Linked DNA regions of Cricetulus griseus. The protein of the gene in region 2 interacts with the protein of the main gene of each other region in a biochemical or structural test. Links are inferred from orthologs where the notes say so. Each region holds a gene or a part of one and is shown on either strand. Other genes may lie near its edges. The genes, in order: Josd2, Yap1, Trerf1, Shank1, Slc9a3r2 and Ttyh3.

Evidence for each region.
Region 1: of the proteins of Yap1 (region 2) and Josd2, one has a biochemical effect on the other in vitro, tested with the Homo sapiens proteins (2 studies listed by BioGRID). The link is inferred for Cricetulus griseus from reciprocal best matches to the Homo sapiens genes YAP1 and JOSD2.
Region 3: the proteins of Yap1 (region 2) and Trerf1 interact in a test that uses a peptide from one of them, tested with the Homo sapiens proteins (2 studies listed by BioGRID and IntAct, with this or other methods). The link is inferred for Cricetulus griseus from reciprocal best matches to the Homo sapiens genes YAP1 and TRERF1.
Region 4: the proteins of Yap1 (region 2) and Shank1 interact in a test that uses a peptide from one of them, tested with the Homo sapiens proteins (2 studies listed by IntAct, with this or other methods). The link is inferred for Cricetulus griseus from reciprocal best matches to the Homo sapiens genes YAP1 and SHANK1.
Region 5: the proteins of Yap1 (region 2) and Slc9a3r2 form a complex in vitro, tested with the Homo sapiens proteins (2 studies listed by IntAct, with this or other methods). The link is inferred for Cricetulus griseus from reciprocal best matches to the Homo sapiens genes YAP1 and NHERF2.
Region 6: the proteins of Yap1 (region 2) and Ttyh3 interact in a test that uses a peptide from one of them, tested with the Homo sapiens proteins (2 studies listed by BioGRID and IntAct, with this or other methods). The link is inferred for Cricetulus griseus from reciprocal best matches to the Homo sapiens genes YAP1 and TTYH3.

Annotation. Positions count from the first base shown.
Region 1 is NC_048599.1:153,335,043-153,339,080, reverse strand, and holds the start of Josd2 (josephin-2), read right to left. Parts: upstream 2,801-4,038; 5' UTR 2,750-2,800; coding exon 2,708-2,749; intron 2,595-2,707; exon of another isoform or gene 2,541-2,594; coding exon 2,483-2,540; intron 2,106-2,482; coding exon 1,943-2,105; intron 482-1,942; coding exon 356-481; intron 1-355. Other genes in the region: Aspdh (putative L-aspartate dehydrogenase), read right to left, coding at 2,801-2,912, 3,170-3,252, 3,480-3,690, 3,764-3,984. UniProt on the Homo sapiens protein: Cleaves 'Lys-63'-linked poly-ubiquitin chains, and with lesser efficiency 'Lys-48'-linked poly-ubiquitin chains (in vitro). May act as a deubiquitinating enzyme.
Region 2 is NC_048597.1:122,382,175-122,385,674, forward strand, and holds part of Yap1 (transcriptional coactivator YAP1), read right to left. Parts: coding exon 3,370-3,500; intron 1-3,369. UniProt on the Homo sapiens protein: Transcriptional regulator with dual roles as a coactivator and corepressor. Critical downstream regulatory target in the Hippo signaling pathway, crucial for organ size control and tumor suppression by restricting proliferation and promoting apoptosis.
Region 3 is NW_023276806.1:256,688,868-256,692,367, forward strand, and holds part of Trerf1 (transcriptional-regulating factor 1), read left to right. Parts: intron 1-448; coding exon 449-836; intron 837-1,767; coding exon 1,768-1,834; intron 1,835-3,308; coding exon 3,309-3,448; intron 3,449-3,500.
Region 4 is NC_048599.1:153,187,677-153,191,176, reverse strand, and holds part of Shank1 (SH3 and multiple ankyrin repeat domains protein 1), read right to left. Parts: intron 3,301-3,500; coding exon 3,133-3,300; intron 2,968-3,132; coding exon 2,851-2,967; intron 1-2,850. UniProt on the Homo sapiens protein: Seems to be an adapter protein in the postsynaptic density (PSD) of excitatory synapses that interconnects receptors of the postsynaptic membrane including NMDA-type and metabotropic glutamate receptors via complexes with GKAP/PSD-95 and Homer, respectively, and the actin-based cytoskeleton.
Region 5 is NC_048600.1:44,234,673-44,238,680, forward strand, and holds the start of Slc9a3r2 (Na(+)/H(+) exchange regulatory cofactor NHE-RF2), read right to left. Parts: upstream 2,801-4,008; 5' UTR 2,618-2,800; coding exon 2,405-2,617; intron 161-2,404; coding exon 1-160.
Region 6 is NC_048597.1:77,238,308-77,241,807, forward strand, and holds part of Ttyh3 (protein tweety homolog 3), read right to left. Parts: intron 3,390-3,500; coding exon 3,169-3,389; intron 2,832-3,168; coding exon 2,736-2,831; intron 1,395-2,735; coding exon 1,322-1,394; intron 1,075-1,321; coding exon 999-1,074; intron 1-998. UniProt on the Homo sapiens protein: Calcium-independent, swelling-dependent volume-regulated anion channel (VRAC-swell) which plays a pivotal role in the process of regulatory volume decrease (RVD) in the brain through the efflux of anions like chloride and organic osmolytes like glutamate.

The DNA.
Region 1 (4,038 bases), on a different chromosome or scaffold from region 2:
CCAGCCCCTCAACGTTTTGTTATTTGCCTTTTTGAGTCAGGGTCTCTATATGCAACCCAGGCCAGCTTCCAATTCAGTTTTGCCTCAGGTCAACAGGCTGGTCTCACTACTCTTAACCCCATTTCCTCAGTCATGAGTCACTCATGTCACTTGGACCCCCCACAGAATACCTTTCACTGGTACCAAGTTTATCAGTTTAGCTCATCAGTCAGTCAGTCAGTCAGTCAGTCAGTCAGTCAGTCAGTCCCCATTAGCCAGAGGCTCTCTGGCAAAAACCTCCCCCATCTACCTTCAAGTCACCCTCTGCTTCATCCCACAAACCCAGGGCCAGTGTAGCCCACAGCCTAGGCCCTACCTCCTCCTGTCCCACCACACAGCGGCCAGGCCCAGGCCTTGCAGGGCAGCCATGATCACGTTGACATCATAATTGCCGGTGCCCAGGAGGCTGCGATGAGGGTTCAGCCGGGAGTCTGGGGCCAGCCTGGGGGTGAAGGGGGCAGAGCCAAGGTTGGGAATCCTGGAAAGGCCTTCAACTTCTCACACAGCAGGAGAGGCCCAGAGCCTGGCTTTTGGCTCTTTCTCTTTAAGCCCCACACAGCTCATTGGGCTCTAAGCCCTGTTTTTCCTCCCATTCCCAACACCTGTACTCTCTGCCTAGCTAAAGTTTTTGTCTTTTTCCACTCAGAAACCCTTCCCAGTCTCTAGTCTCTCCATCCGATCCACCTCCAAAAGCCTTGAGCTGCCTGCCTCTCTCCTACTCCCACCTCTCCCATGACTCCCAAGTGCTCTGGACAAAGTCTCTGCCCTTCCATCTGCCCTTCTCATCATGGCCTCTTTCCAGACCAGCCTCAGATGTCATTTCTTCTGGTAGAGAAGCCATCAAACCCCCAGAATGGGCACAGAGCTCCCCTGAGTGACAATGCCGCTCATGTCACCATATTTGAATACAGAATGCCTCTTTCATTTGGCAATACCCTGCCCTACTCTGTTCACAGCCCTCCCTGGTGCCCCAAATCCCGGGGACAGACTCTCACCTCCTCCAGTGGCAAGTGGTTCTTGCATAGCCTCAGCACCAGCTCTTACCAGCCACCTATCTCCAGCTGTCCCTGTGCCCAAGCCTTCCCTCTAAGCTCTCTCCAGATGTGACCCTGTTCCTCTGAAGAGCTGGCCCCTTGGAGAGCAGTGACATGGAGGGAACCACTTGTGTTTGCTCTGTGTCCCGAGCCTTCTCCTCACTACATCTGCCTTAGCTCTAGTTGTTCAGCATGCTCCTGGCATGACAGAGCTGGTGGCAGGGGGATGGATATCTCCTAACATAAATCTACAGTCTGAGGGTGCTGGCTGAGCAGCAGTGAGAAGATGTGAAGGCTGCCTCTGGATGTGGACATGAACTGCAGGCTGGGGTGTTGGCGTATCTGTGAAAGGATTGTGGGGCCTAGAAGTGGGACTAGGAAGAGAGTTTAAGAAAGTGATGGTTGAAATTCTGAAGGGCACCTACGTGACCAAGAAGAACAAGAATGCCTGGGTAAGAGCTCAGAATCACCACAGTGGGGTCATCTGGGGCCAAGGAGAGTAGTGAAGGAGAAGCTGCAGACTGGTAGGCAAGGACCAGAGCACCCAAAGCCTTGGAGTTCAGGCTGAAGGACCTGGGCTATTCTCTAGGAGTGCCAGGGACCCCCAGAGGAATAAATGCAGAGGAGGGGGAAGGCAGCTGTGGGGCTGTGTGTAGGATGGTCAGGAGGAGAAACACAGACAGCTGGGAGGCTGTGACAAAGGCTCAGATAAGAGAGGTTGAGGCCAAAGCTGGGTTGAGGCTGTGAGAAGCAGCAGGTGGAAGGGCAGACATCAGCTCCAGGATCTGCGCCCCGGCCTTGTTAGTGCCCAGGCAGGCTCCCATGCCCCTCAGCCCTGCTCTTCCAGGGCCAGGACCTAGGGCAGTCACCTCTTGCAAATTTCATCTGCAGCTTCCTGGCTAAAGAGCTGTTGTTGGAGGACGTTGTTGAGAGCGTGGACCGCGCACAGCTCTAGCCGCTGCCGCTCGTGGTACACTGAGGGTGGGCTCGGCCGCGCTTCCGGGGCCTGAGACATGCCCTCCTCGGCTCCTGCTGGGGGTGGTACAAGGAGAAAGTGTTAGGGACCCAGGATCTCGGCCATCTGGGTCTCCAGACTCCTGTGTCCCTGGGCAACAGCCACTGAGATGGGCACTGGAGCCAGCTTGGGAGGAAACGACCCAGCTACCTAGGCTGTCTCCGAAGCGTAGAGGCATCTTTATGCCCTAGTCCTAGGGGGAAAGGGCTCTTTTTTGCTCACTTGGCAATAGAGATCCACCCCCACTTCATGTCTCTAAGCAAAAAAAAGTCCGGATCACTATAACCTAGTAACGAAGTATCGCCCCTTCTGTCCCTAGGAAACAATACCTTTTTGGTTCCCAAGCAACAGAGTACTCCCCACCCGCTTGGTAACCGGTCCGATTTCTGATCACCTAGCAATGGAGGACTCCTCCTTCCCCGTCTCTGGGTAACAGGGTCTCTTCTGGTCGCCTAGCAACGAAAGACTTCCCCTCATCAATAACCAGGGTTCTCTCCTCCCGTCACCTGGCAACAAGGCCCTCTCCCAGTCACTAAGCAACAGGAGCTCCCCTCTTCCTGTCACCTGGCAACCAGGCACGCTCCCACCCGCCTCCGCACGGCACTCGCTTGGCCCTCACCCCGTCGGCCTCTCTGCTCGCTGGGACCGGCCGCTTTCTCATTCCCTGGGTAGCGGCCGAGTGGTACCACGCTGACTGGGCAGGCAGGACGGACTACAGCTCCCGACCGCCCGAGCACTCCTGACTGCAATTCCCGAAGGCCTCCGAGGCGCCTAAATAGGACGCGCGGTACGGAAGTCCGCCGGGGACGCTCTGCAGCGCGGAACTACAACTCCCGTCGGACCACACAGCCAGTTTTCATGCACCCCCAGGGCTCACTGCAGTCTAGAGGTTTCTGGGAAATGTAGTAACTGGGGCTCTCGCGATAGCTTCCAGGAAAATGGTTTGTGCGTATGCTCGTGCGCTCGCTGCTATGGCGTCACACACAGTGTGTTGAAGCGTGATGTAATAGAGTTAGGGGATAAGGAACTAAAGAGGCCAAAGAGAACAGCCGACAGAACTCTGATGTTTACTGAGACACACAGTGGTCGAGGTGACAGCAAGGGCAGCGGGGGAGACTTGTCAGCAGAGGTGAATCCCAGGTCTGGAGGGGAGCTGGCAGCAGCCTGTGGGGAGAATGAAAGACTAGAATGACCACACAGACATGCAAGCAGCCATGGCGGCCGTGGGCTTTGAAAATGATAGTGTAGTACAACCCAAAGAGGATACTCAGAAAGAGATGTGGGGTGTGGATGCAGAGACAAGAGGGGGGCTGAGACTCAGAGAAAAAGAGAGACCTGGGAGAGAAAACTAAGGATGGGCAAAGACAGACAACCGGGGTGGGACATCCGACATGTGAGTTCTGCAGGGCACAAAAGTCAAGGGACTCTTGGAGAGGTCTGGACGCACCCAGTAGGCTGCCCCAGAAGGCTGTGACAGTAGCAGAGCCGGTGACAGCGCCAGGCTGGGCTGGGTTCTCTCTGTGGGTGTGCACAGCAAAGCTGTGGCCTGTGGGCCCTGGGGGGCCTTTCAGCTCCACGTCCACCACGTGCATGTCTTTGAGGCTGCAGCCAGCGGAGAAGGGTAGTTAGTACATCTGGCCTGTACACAGGTGGGCCACTTACTTCCGTTGCTCACCTAAGGTCAGCCACAAGCACCCCAATGACACGGTCGAAGCCTAGACTGGGGGCAGCCAGGGCAGCAGCTGCCATGGTGTTAGAATTTCGGGGGGCCAAGGGGCAGAGCCCACGCACAGGGCCCTCGTAGAGCACTGTGCGCGGCCCACTGATGTGTGCTGCAGCCAGGGACCCCTCCAGTCGGAAGCCATCAGGATGTGTGGCCATGGTGACTCGAAGGCTCTGGAAACAATGGCAGGGTCAGGAAGCTGAGACTCTTACATGTTCCCTCAGTTG
Region 2 (3,500 bases):
GAAGAACTATTTCCTGCAGGAAAACCTGCAGAAGTGCTGAGGTATAAAGAGAATTGATTCTTTTAAAATAAAAACTCAAAATGCTGTGGTGAAATTGGTTTCAAACATTAAGTTTGGTGACAAAGATATGGCATCTCCAGTGACTAAGGCTTTTTTTTAGTACAGCATACTCTCTAGAGTCTGGGTCCCTGTCCGGGACAGAGGTGCTTGTACTGCAAATACCACCACCACCACCACCTCCCCACCCCACCCCCAGCCCCGGTCATTTGCCAATATAAAGTTCAAGGCTCTAGAGCTCACTGGCTTAAGGACAGGCTTTAACACCAACCATGGTAATTAGGTGGCCTTGAAAGTGGAGGATGGGCCAATAGACTTCAACACTCATTTGAGGTCACAAGGCAACAATTAGCTGTCCCCAAAGTCACTAATTCTCCCAGATCTCTCAAGTTACAACACCTTGACAACTTGGACCATTTGTGGTCAGAATTCCACGCCCCCCCCCCATGTATAAATCTCAAGAAATGACATACTTTGTCCCAGTAAATACCTAAAAAGATGAATGGAAGGTTTAGTTTTCATGCTGGCATGAGCTAGAATTCAGAAACTAGTTCAGATCTTCCTTCCACGACTGGCTGGCATCCTTTTGAAAGGTTTTTGTTACAGTTATGTATTTATGCACCTGTGTGTGCATATCAAATGTGGACGCACCACAGTTCTGAGTTTGTAATGTGTGAGGACAATCTGAGGAGTCAGTTCTCCCCTTTCATCATGCGGTTCCTGGGGCTCACACTAAAACTGTAAGCTATATTCAGGACCTCACACGAGATGGGAAGAGAAATAGATTCTAAAAACTAAGATAAAAATAAATTTTGACACAATAGCTACTTGGCATCAAAGCTTAGTTTACCATCATCATCTCTGACTCAGTGAGGGCAGATATTAATTTCATTCATCTGTTTGGTGCACAACAGCTCTTTCTCTTTATGGTAACTACACAGTACACAACAGCAGGGGGAAGCCAGCAATGGAGAGAAAGTTCTGTTTCACATCACTTCTCCAAACCGCATATTGTTCATAAGGCGTTTCCTCTTCAGAAAAAGCAACTTCATAAGACTACCCACCTCCTACATTCAGTTCTCCACAGGATCTTTACCACACCCAGTGACTCAGCTCACCTGCTGTGAGGGCTCAAGTCACCCCTCAGGGGTGGGTGACCTTCTAGGAGCATGATGTGGAAAAGCTTACAGAACCCTAACCCTCATTCATCATAGAAGCCGCCCCAACTTCCATGGGCAGCCTCAAAATCAATACTGTATTCTCAGACCCTGCCAGCATTTGCTTCCTAGGCCAAGTTTCCTCAATCCTCCTATGGCAAGTCTTAGTTTGGTGTGGTTTACCATCTTCCTAGCCCCCACGAAAAATAGGTGAGAATGCTAAGCTGGGGTGGAGCTAGTGTGGAGCACCCCTCCTCAAACCTACATACCCAGCAGTTACTTGCCATAGGAAGAATTATAGAAAAAAAAAAATTAAGAGAATCTACAAAGAGGCTTATTTCAGCTCAGAAAAGATCACTCCCTCAAATAATGAAGATGCAAACAGATGTCACCAACAAGCAATTTTAAGAAAACACAAAAGAGTAAAAGCAGCATAAATGTTGCTCTTTAACCTTCGGCTCACAACCACAGCCACAACTGAAGGCCTGCAGGCTATTAAGCTGTTTAACATCACCCCAGGTCACCACAGGACACAGCAGGGAGGCAGTCAGGACTCCAAGTCTTTCTTTTCCTCCCTAACAACCTGGTTTGTTTCCCCTCCCTTCTCCTTCAGGACACACAGCCCCCCTCTCCCAACCATCTACTTTGGAAGTCTGCTTAGAGAATAAATGATCTCGCTCTGGTGGATGAGTTTGCCAGGCTTATATGTACTTTCCAGTCTCAGGCTCTTTATTGTTCTCCTTGAAACCTGACCCCTTGAAATGAGTACCAGAACACCAGAAAATGTTTTTGTTGTTGTTGTTGTTGTTGTTGTTTTTAAAGCCTTACAGGAAAAAATGGCAACAAAACAAAAAACAAGGTGTGTTGGGGGCGGGGGGGGGGGGGGGGTTAGAGGCTTTCCAAGATCAAGATCAAATCTCTTCCCTTGTCCTCCTGAACTGCAATGTCACAAAACTCTGTATCCTTACTATAAAGCAGTAACTCAAGCCTTTAATCCCAGCACTTGGGAGGCAGAGGCATGCAGATCTAAGTTGGAGGCCAGCCTGGTCTACAGAGCAAGTTCCAGGACAGCCAGGGATACAGAGAAACCCTGTCTCAAAAAGCAAATACACACAAAGTAGCAACCCACCCAAGACAATCAACTGAAAATACAGACCGGGTAGGGGTGGGGGGTGCGGGGTGTAGCTCACAAACAAAACAAGGTTGTTACTGGTGTTCTCTGATCCAATAAATGAGGCTGCATTTACTTGAGACATCTAAACAGATCTGCATCAAAATGAGCATTGTTCTTCACATCAGCATCTCAGCCCAATTAACCAACTCAAAGAGCAGAACAATCCACAGTCTGTAACAACCAGTCTGAGACAGTTTGCACTCTAAATTCAAACAAGCCCTAGAAAATTAGATCTACCTCCAACTTCAAAATTTGAGGGGATAAAATTCTATTTTGTCCTTTTCAGATGGGTGTTATTTTGCCATTTTGTTAAAAACAAAAAGACTGGGCTGAGGGATACCCAGTGGGCTTGCTTCCATTTCCCAGAGAAGGTACAGCCTGAAAAGTGTGCATGACTGGAGGCCAAACTTAACAACTGGTGTTTTCTTCTCATTTTGAGGGAAAAAGCTGTTTAATGGCATCAAAAGGCAGCTTTAACTGATTGTTGTTTCACAAGGAGTATTGTAGAGTCACCTCTTCCCCAAGTCCTACTTATTTCCTTCTCTGTCAATTATTTATTTGGTAAGAATATACAAGGTCCTTGGTTCAAAACTCAAGACATATGAGTATATGCAGGGGGAGAGGCGGGCAAGGGACAACACACACACAGAAAATATAACCAGTGTCAGTCTTGCTATTTAAAATTTAAATTTTTCATGGCATTCTGTTTTGTGCCAGGCTAATTAACAAATCTGGCACAAACTCAAAATGAGATTACCCCATATTGCCACAAAAGTTTGCAAAAAGGCTCTGAGCCAAGAATAAATAGGCTTTCAAGATGACCAACACTAAAGCGGACACTCCCATATATAAAAATGGAGGACTGGGGGGGTGCCGTTCAATGGCAAAGTATGATTGTTAACCGATAAGGCCGAGTTCCATCTTTAGCACCAGCAAAGTGCCATTCCTGCACTGCCACCTCCCAGGGTTACCTTCACTTACTTTAAGAAGTATCTCTGACCAGACGATGTCTTGGCCATCTCCCAGCCTGCAGGCAGGGGTACATCATCAGGGATCTCAAAGGAAGACTGTCGGAGATGCTGTGCTGCAGGGGTGGCTGCAGGACCAGACAC
Region 3 (3,500 bases), on a different chromosome or scaffold from region 2:
GTGCGTGCGTGCGGGGCGCGAGCCCCCTCCTGCCCCTCAGTCGTGGGCCCTGCATCCCTCGAGAGGGAATTGTGTCTCCTGCCCGGAGCATGTGTGGTCTGTCCCTGCAGGGCGGGCAGTGGGGCCACTAAAGAGCCACTCTGCTGGATCCCCTCAGAACAGATGGAAATGTAGTGATAATAAGACAGAGGAATTTGAATTTATGGCTTCTCACCGACCCGCTCTACCCTTTGCAGACCTTCCGGATTTTCTTTCCCAACCAGCCCAAGGCCGATGTGGTGGGAGTGGGGAAGGGGGGTGATGAGCAGAAGGGAGACAGTCTCTCCCCCACCCCCTTAGAATTTTCGAGATCCCTGGCCAACCTGTGGAAAGGGGCCACGGCAATGACAGAAAGGGGCTAGTGGCTGCGATGTCCAAGTTTGAATCCCAACTATTCCTCTCACTCTAGGAAATCCCACGGAAACACCATCCAGCCGTCACCGCAAAAGTTGAGGAGCCCCTCAAGACCCTGCCGGAGAAGAAGAAATTCCGGCACCGGCCCGAGCCGCTCTTCATCCCGCCACCGCCTTCTTCCTATACTCCCAACCCCACCTCTTACTCGGGGGCCACCCTGTACCAGAGCCAGCTGCGCTCCCCACGCATCCTCGGGGACCACCTGCTCCTGGACCCGGCCCACGAGCTGCCCCCCTACACACCGCCACCCATGCTGAGCCCGGTGCGCCAGGGCTCAGGGCTCTTCAGCAATGTCCTCATCTCCGGTCACGGCCCAGGAGTGCACCCCCAGCTGCCCCTCACTCCCCTCACGCCCACGCCACGAGTGCTGCTGTGCCGCTCCAGTGAGTCATCCCTTAACCCCTGCTGTCACCCCTGTCGATTCTGGATACTGCCCTGAGTGGGTGGGGAGTCTCACTTTCTTCAACTGGCTAGTTGAAGTATCGGTTATGTGTTCCAGATACTTTGCATGTTAGGTGTTGTTAAATTCTCAGCATCTCATTTAGTAGCTCAAGGGAATTGTTCTGAGGAGAAAAGTAAGTGAATCGTCTTTGGGGTTTAAAAAAAAAAAAAGGTGGGGGGGGAAGCGTACACACTAAGACCGCCTTGGGTGGTCAGACAAGATGCTTAAGATATTTAACAGATGTCAGGGGCGGGGCTTTGGGTGTTATAGGCAAGAGCAAATCTTAATATTTAGCATGTTTATAAAAATAAAAATATTAAAAAATAATATAAAAATTAAAGAACCAATCATGAACTCTGTAGGCAGTACACAAGTGTAACTCCAGCTACTAAGGAAGCTGAGGTAGAAAGCTAGGGAATTCAAGGCCAGCCTGGGCAGCACATGAAAACTCCATCTCCTCAGAGCTGTTGAGCACAGAAGGGAGAAGAGAGAGATCTTTGTAGCTAGGTTTCTTTCTGGTTGCCTAGAAACCATGTAGCAGGACAACTTTTCCTCACACTATGTGAGAAACAGTTATCTTGCTCCTGTAGTCCCAAGCACTGGGGGGCTGTGGCTTAAAGCTGGCAGATAGGAAGTTCAAAACCAAATTGAGCTAAACATCAAGACCCTTGTCAGGGGGCTGAAGGAGGAGGAGGAGAGAAAGAAACAGAAAACTGCATGTATCCATGCAGTCCTCTGGAAATTGGTTTAGGTTGTCTAGGAAAGAGCCTGGTTATTGCTGATTGGCTAATTACTGGTCAGCTAATTGCTCATTGTTCTCATGTCTTAGGAAGTTTTCTTTGTTGACCAGTAAACCCTAGTTTCTGTTTCAGGCAGCATCGATGGCAGCAATGTGACAGTCACCCCAGGACCTGGAGAGCAGACTGTGGATGTTGAACCGTAAGGAAAAGCCAATTATTCTTTTTCTTTTTTCTTTTTTTTTGGGGGGGGGTTGGGGGGTCTTTGAGACAGGATTTCTCTGTGTAGCTTTGCAGCCTATCCTGGCACTCGCTCTGGAGACCAGGCTGGCCTCCAACTCACAGAGATCCACCTGCTTCTACCTCCTGAGTGCTGGGATTAAAGACGTGCGCCACCAACGCCCGTCCTGAAAAGCCAATTATTCTTTAGAGCACACACCTGAGATAAGGAATGGTCTGGAAGCTTCTAGAAGGTCAGTCAGTACTTCTATAGTCAGTGGCCACTGAGAGGGGAGAATTGTGGAAATGGTAGGAACATGGCTTTTCTTGAGTACTACTGTTTCCTTATAGCTGCTAGCATTTCAGAGTCTTTTCTTAGGACTATTAGCATTCCCACCTCCACGGGCCAGTTCTAAACTCTAATACTTTCATATCCCCAGGGACACTGAGGCCTCTCTCTTTTTTTTTTTTTTCTTTTAATTTTATGTGCATTGCTATTGGATCCCCTGGAACTGGAGTTAGACAGTTGTGAATTGCCTTGTGGGTGCTGGGAATTGAACCTGGGTCCTCCTGAAGTGCACTCAGTGCTCTTAACCCACTGAGTCATCTCTCCAATCCCTTGAGGGGTTCTCTCTTGGAGGTGCTTAGCTAGAAGAGAATCCCATGCCAGTCTTCCAGATGGGACAAGAGGTTGTTCACACCTGAGGCGAGGTGGACTGGCTCGGGATTCCATCACATTGCTTAAAATGTCATGAAAGTAAGGTCTGGATTTTTCCATCTAATATTTTCCAACATTAGTTGATCACAGGTAACTGAAAGCCAAAGAAAGCTGTAGATAAAGAGGCACTACTTTACTGTGGAAGGGAAAGTGGTTCATTTCATGAATGAACTTAGAAAAGGGGCCTTGTGGTACAGAGCTTTAAAGAGTCCGGAATCAGAAAGTTTGAGTTGACACCATTCTGGTTTTGATCTGTACTGAGTCAGTTTCCTGAGGCCTTCATTGGTTCCCTGAATGGCAATCGTGATTGCTGCCAACCAACCAACCATGAATACTGCCTTGTTCATATCACAGACCTCTGTGAGCTTAGATGACATAATATATGTGAAAGAGGTTTGGAAGGGATAAATACATAAATATTTTACATTGTTGCACACACGTAGCCCACTTCCAGTTCTGTGTTCTAGGCAACTCCTCTCTTGGAATTAGCTGTCTTCCACTCCAGTTTCAGGGAGCTGAGAATCTCCAGGCAAACGACTGCCTTGCCCCTTCCCCTGTCCCCAGCATTAAAGCTATCTGTACTAGTGAAAAGGCCTGGACTTGGAGGGCCCTGCCACAAGGAGATGCTCTGGCATCCTTCTTTTAGAAGGAACTGCTGTCCTGTGTCTTCAGTTCCTGACAGTGGCCCCTGGCCTAGGCCATCACAGTGAAGGCTGCACTGTTTTTCTTGTCCTTAAAGACGCATCAACATTGGCTTGAGATTCCAAGCAGAGATCCCAGAACTGCAAGATGTCTCCGCCCTGGCTCAGGATACACACAAGGCCACACTGGTGTGGAAGCCGTGGCCTGAGCTGGAAAACCAGGCCCTCCAGCAACAAGGTACTGACACTTAGGAGGAGCAGGGTGGGTGAAGCTGGCTGCTCTAGCAGGA
Region 4 (3,500 bases), on a different chromosome or scaffold from region 2:
TGTTTAAATATTCACCAAACCAAGAGCTTTCTTTCCCTTCCCTGAGGCTGGCACCATTTCTGATTCGTCTCTTTTCCTCAGAACCTGGCACCAAGCACACAGTAGGTGCTAAAGAAATTCACTTGGAAGAAATGGAGACGGAGGATGTGGAGCTATCAATCAAAATTCATTTGCTCAAGTCACTCAATTATTCATTCATCTGTTGAGTCATTCAATCTGTCAAAAACAGCAGCCACCTGCCAAGAGTCCTGAGCCCAGAGCTGTGCACAGTTCAGGTGGAGACCCACAGCCCCATCATTCATTCAATCAGTCATGCATTCATTCATCTCTCACTGCACACAATGGCATCAGGAATACTGTTTCTGAGGGCTTGGGACAGAGCAGTCTGTGAGATTCTGTCCCGGTTTTGAGAGAGACTCACAGTGTAGGACTGGTCCACCAGCAGGGGCTACATGTTCATACCACTGGGCCAAGATGACAGACAGCAAAGGGTGATGGTCAGACCCAGCTTAGATAGGTGGATGGATGGACAGATGGATATATGAATAGATGGATGGATGGGTACAGGGATAGATTCATGGATGCAAAATAATTACTATTTTCTGGGGGTTTGGTGCAGAATCAGAATCTACCAGAATTTGTCCCAACCCTTGAGAGGCTCACAGCCTAGGGACCTTTGCCAGCAGGATGGATGGGTGGGTAAATGTACGAGTGGACAGACAGATGGACAGATGGGTGGATGGATGGATGGATGGATGGATGGATGGGTAGCTGGGTGGATGGTTAGATGAACTGGTATATGAAGAGACAGATGAACAGATAGATGGGTGTATTAATGGATGGATAAATCAGTGTGCGGATGGATGGATGGATGGATGGATGGATGGATGGGTTGTTGGGTGGGTGAGTGGGTGTGTGAATAATTGTGTATATGTGTGTGTGTGTGGTAGGTGGGTGTACTGACGTCCATAGGTAGCATGTTGGCTAGGATAAGCACAGAGAAGACTGGGTTGAGAAGTGGAAGATGAACTCACATTTGCTAAGCATCTATTCGATCTGATAGCAAGCAGAGTGTTCACTTGCTTGATCCTTTGAAGGATATTCATGACTGACCCATTTCACAGATCGTGGGAGCTAAAGTAGGGGAGCTAAAGAAGGCAAAACAATATGCTCATCTGGCCCTCTTTGGGGAATAGTGGATGCTGTATAATTCTCTGTACTCAATTTTCCCTGCTCAGATGAATGCCAGCCTTCTGACCGCATCCTGGCAATTGACACTGGCGATGATACTAATAATAACAATTATTATCACGGCTGTCTTCTAGGGATGAATACTTAATGTACACAATCACTCATCCCTTTCAATCAGCTGACATGATTCTCATTTCGGGGAGGACAAAGCCCCAGAAAGTGGAAGGCGCTTGTTCAAGGGTCTTCCTGGGTGTGGGGGGCTGGGGCTTTTTCTCTCCCCACCAAGCACCTGCCTCAGAGCCAGAGGTCCTGGCACAGAGGCCTGCATAAGGAGCAGTAGAGAAGGCAGTAGTACTTGGGAAGGAAATGCCAGCACCATGTTGCTGGGTTTGAGGAACACCAGTCATCTCTTGGCGTTGAGCATTCTGCTCACTGCCACAAGGCAGCACTTGGATACCCGCCATATCCCCAGCACTGAGAGTTCTCAGGAGGCAGAAGGGGCTGGGGCTGTTTTGGAAGACTTCCTGGAGGAAGGGAGGGCAGATCAGCAAGTGCTGCCCTCCCTACCCTGAAGCCCCCCAAGCAGCTCTTCAAGGACAAGAATCTCAGAAAACCTGGGGAGAGAAGAGGCTGCAGCTCCAAGGGGCCTGGCTCACCTGGAGTCTCTTGGTACTCAGATGGCAAAGGGGTCTTAGCCCTTGCTGGCAGCTGTCCCACTTGGGGAGACCCTTGCCTCCTTTATACAGCCCATCTTTCCCCAAAATTCCTGGAGAGGGACCCTCCACAAAACATTACTGAATATACAATATCCCCAGGCTGTACTTTTCTCATTCCTCTGCCCCCTGCAAAGGCTCCACCTGCTCAGCCCCTTGTCTTTTACACAGCTGTGCTCCCCTCCCGGAGCACTCTTTTTTCCCTCATTTGCTCCTGCTGTCTTGACATCATTCAGAAAGCCACCTCCACCCAACTCCAAACACGGCTCCCAAGGGAACATGATTCTCCATAACTTTACTGAGCACCCAGGATTAGACCAGAAGCTCAGTATAAAGCTTGGAGCCAGACACAGAGGAGAAGCTTATTAAACTCAATGGACAGATGGGTGGATGATGGCTGGCTGGCTGGAAGGTGGGTAGGTGGATGGATGGATGGATGGATGGATGGATGGGAGATGGGTGGGTAGGTAGCTGGGTAGACAAAGATATGGATAAGTGAGTGGATAGGTAGATGGATGATGACTGGATGATGGATGAGTGAGTAGGTAGGTGGATGGATAAGTGGATAGGTTTGTAGATAGGTGGGGGTGGATTATAGATGGATGAGTGGATGAATGAGTAGACAAGTAGATGTACAGAGGGATGAATTTGTAGATGTATAGATGAATGGGTGGAGGACAGATGGATGAACGAGTGGGTGGCTAGATGGGTGGATGATGGATGAATGAGTGGTGGATGGATGGATGGATGGATGGATGGATGGATGGATGGAAGGATAGATGGGTGGATGATGGATGAATGGGTGGTGAGTGGATGGATGGATGGATGGATGGATGGATGGGTAGGTAGGTGGAAATGGTGAATGAACAGAAGTTGTAGGAGGCTTGAGTGAACTTGTGTGAAGCATAGGCCTTTGAAGGGGCAGATGGATGTTGCTTGGGCTGACCTTGTTGTAGAGGGCACAGATGTGCAAGGCTGTGTTTCCTGAGGCATTCTGGGCTCCAGGCTCAGCCCCATAGAAGAGCAGGTGTTCCAGGTGCTGAGAGTGGCCCCGTTGGCAGGCCTGGAGGTACAGGGAGTGCGTAAGCCTGATTATACCTCATCTGAATCCTTCCAAGGCTCTCTTCCTTGAGGTCAGAGATCTGCACCCACATCCCCTCTCTGTAAGGAACTCTGCCATCTCTTTCGCATCCCAGCCCCTTGGATGCTTTGTACTAAATCTGAATACCTGGTGGATTTCCTGCCAGCCGTTCTCATCTGCAATGCCCAGTTGGGCCCTGTTGTACAGAAGTAGCTCGCAGCAGCGGGGGTCGCCCCCCACCATAGCTGTGTGGAACAGGGGTGTCAGCCCTCGGCGGTCCTTGTAGTTGGGAGAGCCCCCAAGGTCCAGAAGTGCCTAAGGAGGACAGATAACTCAGGAAGAAAGGACAGATGGCAGCTCTAATTCCAAGGGGTTGTTAGGGAGGTGAGCCTTGAATGACCCATGCAGGCTCATACCTGTCTCATTTCCACTCCAATCTCTCCCTCTCTCTCTCTCTCTCTCTCTCTCTCTCTCTCTCTCTCTCTCTTTCTCTCTCTCTCTGTGTGTGTGTGTGT
Region 5 (4,008 bases), on a different chromosome or scaffold from region 2:
AGTCGTGCTTTGGCTCCCAGGGGTTGTGGGCTGGTGGAAGCCCTCGATGGGCCATCTCCTCAGTGCAGGTCAGTTGCCGCCGGCAGAGTTCCTCATCTGTCTCCTTGTCCACCACAAGCAGCTGAGTGTGCCCCTCCACAGCCTTGATCCTCTGTACCACCTGGAATGGGTGGGTAGCAGGACTAGATCAGCAGCCAACACGCTGGGCAACACATGGATAGGGCACCACTTCGAAAGGGCGCCACTCTTGGCAAAGCACGACTCACAGACAGCAGGCAGGGGTTGGCCTGCCAGGGGTGGGCAGCTGGACTGAGAGGCCTGCGAGCTCCACCCCCCACCCCCAGTTTCCAGTAGCTCCCTCCCTCTTCTCCCTGAGCTAGGGCCCAGGCTGCAAGTACTTCAGGATCCTCTTGTGGCATTGCACCAAGCTCAGGTAAGGACAGGAAGGAGATGCCAGGAGCAGCCAGATGGAAGAGTCAGAAACGATTGAGTTGAGCTTCAGGATTTCAGTCTAGTCTATGCATGTGTGTGTGCATGCTTATCTGTATGTGTGTGCTTTTGTGTGTGTGTGTGTGTCTGTATGTGCATCTATTTTAAAGTCTGTCTTTCCGCCTAGGTGTAGGAGAGGGCTACATGGCCCCAATGTGAGTATTTGGGTTTATTTCTTTCTCTGAGATGCAGTGTGAATCTAACACCCAGAAATCTCTAGAACTCCAATTTGCCTCCAGACCAGGACTAGAAACCCATTCTTGCTGCACCTGCAAAGGGGTGAAGAACTAGAGATTCTACCTAAGGTGCCAGAAATATCAGGTAAGCAGGATCCCACTCCAGCAGGTAAGGCGAACAGTAGCAGATACAACAGTGTAAGAGGTGTGGCTTGACAGCCATCTGTGTATCTGGATGGGTGCCTGTGAAGTGTGGAGAGCATGTGGGCTACCATGGATCATGCAGGATGTTAGTTTGAGTTCAAAGGGAGACATGCCCACCGGACATCTGAAGGGCAGGAAGCATTAACAACTGCACCAAGGCCTGCGGCTGAAGAGACGGAATCCCCATCATTACTTCACTTAGTACATGCTATCCTATCACAGATAGGAAGGTCTGACCCACAGCCACCTTCACCTGGCCCCTCCATGACCATCCTCTCTCCCTGTGACCAATAGAACAGGATCCCAGCACCCTGACACCTTTTGGCATGGGAACGGAGCCAGTCAGTAAAATAGGAGTCATGGTTTTACCTCCTATCTTCCTGAGCAGGAGAAAGGATCGAATGTGGCTCTGCGTGAAAGTCTGTAGGGACTAGCACCCCAGAAACCTGCGATAAACAGGTGGATTCCAGTAACTGCTAGAGGCAGATGACACCAACCCTGCAGGTCTCTACCTTGCCTTGTGGGCCAACCTTTGGGCTCCATCCCAAACTCTTCATCACACAACCAAATCCAGTGGTCACTGTAGGTAGAAAGCAGGTTCCTGAGGGAGACAGGAATTCCCTCATGGCCCAGTGAAGTACCACCCTGCCTTCTCCAGGCTCCAAGACTAACCACACAGGTAGGTCATGGACATGCTGGTACCAGGGATCCAGGCAGAAATGGTGGAAGAAGTCTGGGCCCTAGCCAAGGTCTGAGGTGTGTCTACCCCTCAGCAGGATACAGACACCCAGAGGTAAAACCTGAGGAGAGAACAGCCTTCCTCTGGCTACAGAAGGCAAGAGCTGAACAGTGACCTATACAGGGAGGGCCAGGCAGCCTCTCAGGAGGAGGCTGTTTCTGACACCAAGGAAGTATACTGCCATGGTGCTGACTGCCAGACCCAGACATAAGGGCCCATGAGAGAAGTACACCAGTATATCCAATCATGCAGACAGACAGATGGACGGACACACACATACACACACACACACAGCTGGCATACATGTTTGATGTATCCACCCAACCCTAGACACACATTCCAGCACTGACACTGAATGCTTTCATCCTGGAACAGTTGGGTAGTGTGTTCATATGGATGACCCCAGAGAGACCTGCAAGCACTCACACATTGACAGAAAAGCATCTGTACCACAAGGCCACAAGGTGCCTTAGCCACCTCCTCCCCCTCCATGGCACACAGAGGCCAAAACTAGCAGAAGCAGCCAGGGCCCTGGCCAGAGTAGCCGCAGTGCGGCCCCTCCCTACCAGGATGTCCTCCCTCCCCCGCTAGTGCAGGACTGAGCTTCCTCACCAGGAGGCCAGCTGGCCGGCCACGTCCCACACCTCAACACCGAACCCAGGCAGGCCCCTGTGCGACCCTGGCCGGGTCCCACCATGTGGCACGCAGAAGTGGGGGTTGTTGGCATCTTGGCCAGCGCTGTAGGGACGCGCCCCCAGGAGGGTGCCGGGGGGCGGGGCGCAGCGCAGGGACCCACCTGGTGATGCGTCTCGCCCTCTACGTTGACGCCGTTGACCTCAACCAGGCGGTCCCCGGCGCGCAGCGCGGCCGCCTCGGCTGGGGAGCCTGGCTCCACGCGCCGGATGAACTGGCCACGGCGGCCCTTCTCGCCATGCAGGTGGAAGCCGTAGCCTTGCTCGCCGCGCACCAGGCGACACAGGCGGGGCCGCAGCGACTCCTGCGCGGCCATGGCACCCGCTGCCCCCTGGCTGGCCGCGACTGGCCACGGCTCACACCCCCGCAGGCTGGAGCGCGGAGGCGGCGGAGGCGCGGGCGGGAGAGCAGGCAGCGGCCTCTGTGGCTCCCGCTCAGCTCGCGTCGCCTCGGGCTCCGGCTTCGGCTCTGGCCCTGGCCCCTGCTCCTGCTCCTGCTGCAGCGCGCCGCCCCCGCGCCCGCCCCTTCCCCGCCCTCCTGGCTGCCCCCGCCCTAGCCCAAGCCCCGCTAGCTAGGCCCCTGCCTGGGAGCCCAGACCATGGAGCGAAGATTGCAGGGTCACAACCCCGAGCCCTGGGACTCCTATGTCATCCCATTTTGGCCACCCTCCGAAGCACCTTCGCCCTCTGTTCCAGGAACCACTCATAGACACCTGCATACCCTACATTCCCTACATTGAAGAGGTTCCTGAAATAGGGAGCTTAGAGAAAGGACCCCTACACAGAGACCAGAGGGCAAGAACAGGGGCCGCTGCTCTCCCTCCTCGGAATACACCTCTACGCACCGCACCGGGATTGCTCTGGCCGCTCCCTCTTTGCCCTCTGAATTTAGATCCCCAACACAGAGTGCAACAGGCAAAATACAAATTTAAAGAGACATGCCAGTGACTAGGTGACCCCCTGCCCCTCCCAGGAAGTGTTTGTTCACTAAACATCCTGAACCCATAGTCCCTGCTTTTCGGGAACATGAGTTTATCTGGCAGAGATGCAAGGGTATTTGCTGCCTTCCTCTTGACCTGGTATGATCTCTGCTAAGGATGAACTTTGGCTCCTGAGCTCTAGGTGGTGACCAGCTGTCCCATATTAAACCCCACAGGTCTCCCATCCTCTATCCCCCATAAACTCTTACTTTTACACTTGTGTAAGTTCTCACCTGCGGGACAGCAGTCCCTCAGAGAATCACTTATGCATATTCCTATACAGTTACCCTCAGAACAACCCCGGAGGAAAGAGGCCATTTTACAGATCAGGAAACCGAGGCCTGGCAAAGGGAGGTTCTGAACCTTTTTTGGAGCCTAGTACTGTGAGACTGCACTTTGACCTGCAAGTATATTCTCAGGCACATATGGCAGCTGAGATCCAGGCTCACCTACAGTCTGCTTCTCCCCAGCCCACTGCTCCTCACTTACCTGGTCCCCCTGGATCAGGTATAGCCAGTTCATACAATTCCCCATGTGGATAGGAGATGCAGCCCTAGTTCAGTGTTTGCCTCTCCCTCTCCTCTTTCCGGAGCCCTTAGCTGGAGCTCTCCACCTCCACCCAAGCACCAGGACCGCCTCTGAGCAAAATCATAGGCAGCAGCCCCTTGGGTACCCACACCCTAGTGGCTGCCCCTGAAAGGCACTTAGGCTGAAGATACATTGTTGCT
Region 6 (3,500 bases), about 45 Mb from region 2:
TGCCGACATGCAAGTACATGCATTCACACTGTCCTCAAGTGTGCCTGCCTGTGTCTGAGTATCTACACACGCCAATGCTTGCAAACCATGCATATCTGTATCCACGTGCTTGCACATACTTGTATGTACATGCATTCACACACATGTGCATGTATGTTTTCGCATATATGTGAGGCTGAGCAGTGACCTCCAGGGAGATTGTGGATGATCCTGTCCTCAGAGTGGGGCCCCTGAAGTGTGCAGGACACTCAGGGGTGGGTCTTCCTGCTCAGAAGCAGTGACAATGGGAGTGGGCGCTCTATGCCAGCACCCACACTCAGCCTTAGGTTCTGCGTTCCATTCAGTTTCTAGGAGTGCAGGGGCTGTAGGCCCAGGGATACCGCTCCTCATTTTCTTCCTGTATCCAGTGTGTCAGGAAGCCCTGCTGGTCCCACCTTGAGGGAACATCGATGCCCACTTCCACCTGCTCAAGCCTCCATTGCCCCCGCCATCTAGGGCCTGTGGCTCTAACAGCTTCCTTCTTCCTTTGCTCTTCATGTAGCCCCAGGCAGCTTTTGTTTATATTTTTGAGTTTCTGAGACAGTTTCACCAGGGTTGGCCTGGAACTCAAGTTTCTACCACTGCAGCTTCCCGAGTACAGGGATTCCTGGTGTGTACTGTGCCCAAGCTCAGGGAGCTTTTACAAGGATTATCGCATGTCTTGGGACTCTGTCTTCACTCACGAAAGCCCATACTCCCAACTGTGGCCAGGCCTCCTGGCTTCCCACCTTCTGTTACCAATTAGCTGCCTCACTAACACAGCCTGGGCTTCTGCCTCAGACATCCACTAGAGACACAGACTCCCCCTGGCTGCCTACTTGGAAGCAACCTGGGGTACCAGTTTCCTGACCCATACCATGCCTCCCTGAGGTCAAAGGCTTATAAGGGCAGGAATGCCTCCGCCTTGTCCACCTTGCTGTCCTAGGTCACTTCAGCCCCACACATAGCCACAGACTCACCCCCACTCAGTACTGAGTACTCCTCCACCATCTTGGTCACAAAGGTGTCAGGGTCTACACAGAAGTCGCTGGAGCCCTGAAATGGGTGAGGCAAGAAAGGACAGGTGACCAAGCTGGGCCTCAAAAGCCAGCCATGACCACCCAGAGTTCTCAAGGAGACTTTGCCCCTTACCCCCAGGGTCTGCCCTTAGTTCAGGGAGGCAGAGTGGAATACAGGGAGCATGGATTTGTATGACCCAGGGCAAGATGAGGGGGGAATAGAAGTGTGGCTTTCTCCTCCCAAAGCCCATCAGATGGGGATTCCTGATTCCCCTGCCACTCACCACAGACACGGCCAGCTCCAAGCCCAGTGCACCCCAGCTGATGACCAGGGCCAAGACACCCAGCAAACAGACCCTTGGGGCAAAGAAGGCCCATCAGGATGGGAACAGGGGATAGGGGGCATACCATACACACAGCTGCAATACAAAATGCCAGGCCCCTAAGGCCTGGGTGGGTCTGACTCACACAGGATGGTAAGTCTTCCAGTGACCAGGTCTCAGAGTCACTCAAGTTCTGGACCTGCACAAATGCTCCTCCTGGCTGGGATGAGACTCACCCAGTGAGTGCACGGCTGGGGACAAGTGACAGCAACCCAGGCTTGGGTAGAAGATCCTGTGTCACCCTCGGTCTCATACATCCTGTTTACATGAGACCTTGATCATATCAAGCCCTGCAACTATGCCAGTGCCACCCATTCCTATGCATGGCTGGCTCTTACCTCCCTCAGGGTCCCCTGCTCTTCTACACACACTGAGCTGCAGGCCTACACATTAGCCTACATGCATCTGTCCTACTATCCCCTCTCTTGGAACTCCTTGGGACACACACACACACACTGAAGAGTGCCTACTCTCTCTTGGAACTCCTCGGGACACACACACACACACTGAAGAGTGCCCGCTCTCTCTCGGAACCCCTCAGGACACACACACACTGAAGAGTGCCCGCTCTCTCTTGGAACCCCTCAGGACACACACACACTGAAGAGCGCCCGCTCTCTCTTGGAACTCCTCGGGACACACACACACACACTGAAGAGTGCCCGCTCTCTCTCGGAACCCCTCAGGACACACACATACACTGAAGAGTGCCTGCTCTCTGACTTTGCTTCCCAACTCAGCATCATCACTTGACTTTCAGCCTCTGCATGTTTGTTTATCTTCCAATCCTTGGGAGGCATGCAGGTGCCCCTGGCAGGGGCTGGAGCGTTATGGGGGCTCAACAGTGCCAGATCCAATAGTAACTAAGAGGTGACTGCTCAGGGGGGACAGTGACATCCTCTTGTAGCCACCCCATTGGCAAGCTGACATGTTTCTGTCTTTTAGAGATGGGTTTGGCACCTATGGGTCGACTGTTCAAGCTGGCTGACAAGGTAAGCAGCCGAACTGGCTGGGCTGGAACCCAGCCAGGTTGCCTGTGTCCCCCACCACTTCAGAGACCTGGCCACTGGCTATAAGTACTCTTTGTGCAGAGTCTCCCAGGGAGGAGCACAGTTAATAACCATAAACCTGCAAGTAGCTCATAACACTGGTCACAGCAGTATGGCATCTCAAAGAGGAAGGTTGCCCTTAGGAGATGCTCATGGCCAGAGCCAAGTGGGTTTTATTGACAGGATACAGGGCTATGCTATCCCACACCATTACCCCATCCGTCTATCCATGGGCCCACAGGGACCCACCTTCCCCTCTGACTCACCCAACCAAGATACCCTTGGAGCTGCGGATGAGGCCAACCAACACCAGGAGGCAAATGATGACATCAAGCAACAGCAGGCCGAGGTACCCCAGCCACCTGTGGATACACACAGGGGCCAGGCATGGATAAGGGCTGGGTAAACAGCCTGGGACTTATGTCTTTTGGGGCCGGGTCTTGACATTTAGCCCAGGCTAGCCTGGTGCTCCCAGCCCCCTTTGCCTCAGACTCCATAGTGTTGGGATTATGGCTGTATACTGCCAAGTCTGATTTGATGTCAGTTCTTGAAAAAGATAGCACCTCCTCCCACAGGGATTCCTGCTATGGCTAGCAACCTATAAGGCCTCAGCCACTCTGTACAAAGTGGTCCAGGAGGGTGATGCTCTACCCAGGTGGGGTGGACCCTAGGGGGAAGGGTCTACCCCACCTGGCTCACCTGTACCAGTCATAGAGGTCCACCTGTTCAGCCAGCACCTCCAGTGATACACCAGGGTTCCTCCAAAAGGGGATGGCAGCGGTGTAGCCCAACAACGTCCCCAGCAGGCTCTGCAGCCGTTGCACAGCCCTCAGTGGCTCCTGTCGCCCAACTAGCTGCCGCTCCAGGCTCTGCAGGTTGGGCTCTGCTGTGCGATTCAGGGCCGCAGCCGTGTCCCACACCTGCCAGAGGAGCACTATGAACTGGAGCCAGGTGCAGAGCTGTCACCTGTACTACCAGATCATCCCACATGCATACAGAAGGTTCTAGAGCAGGCAGGACGATCCCCAGCC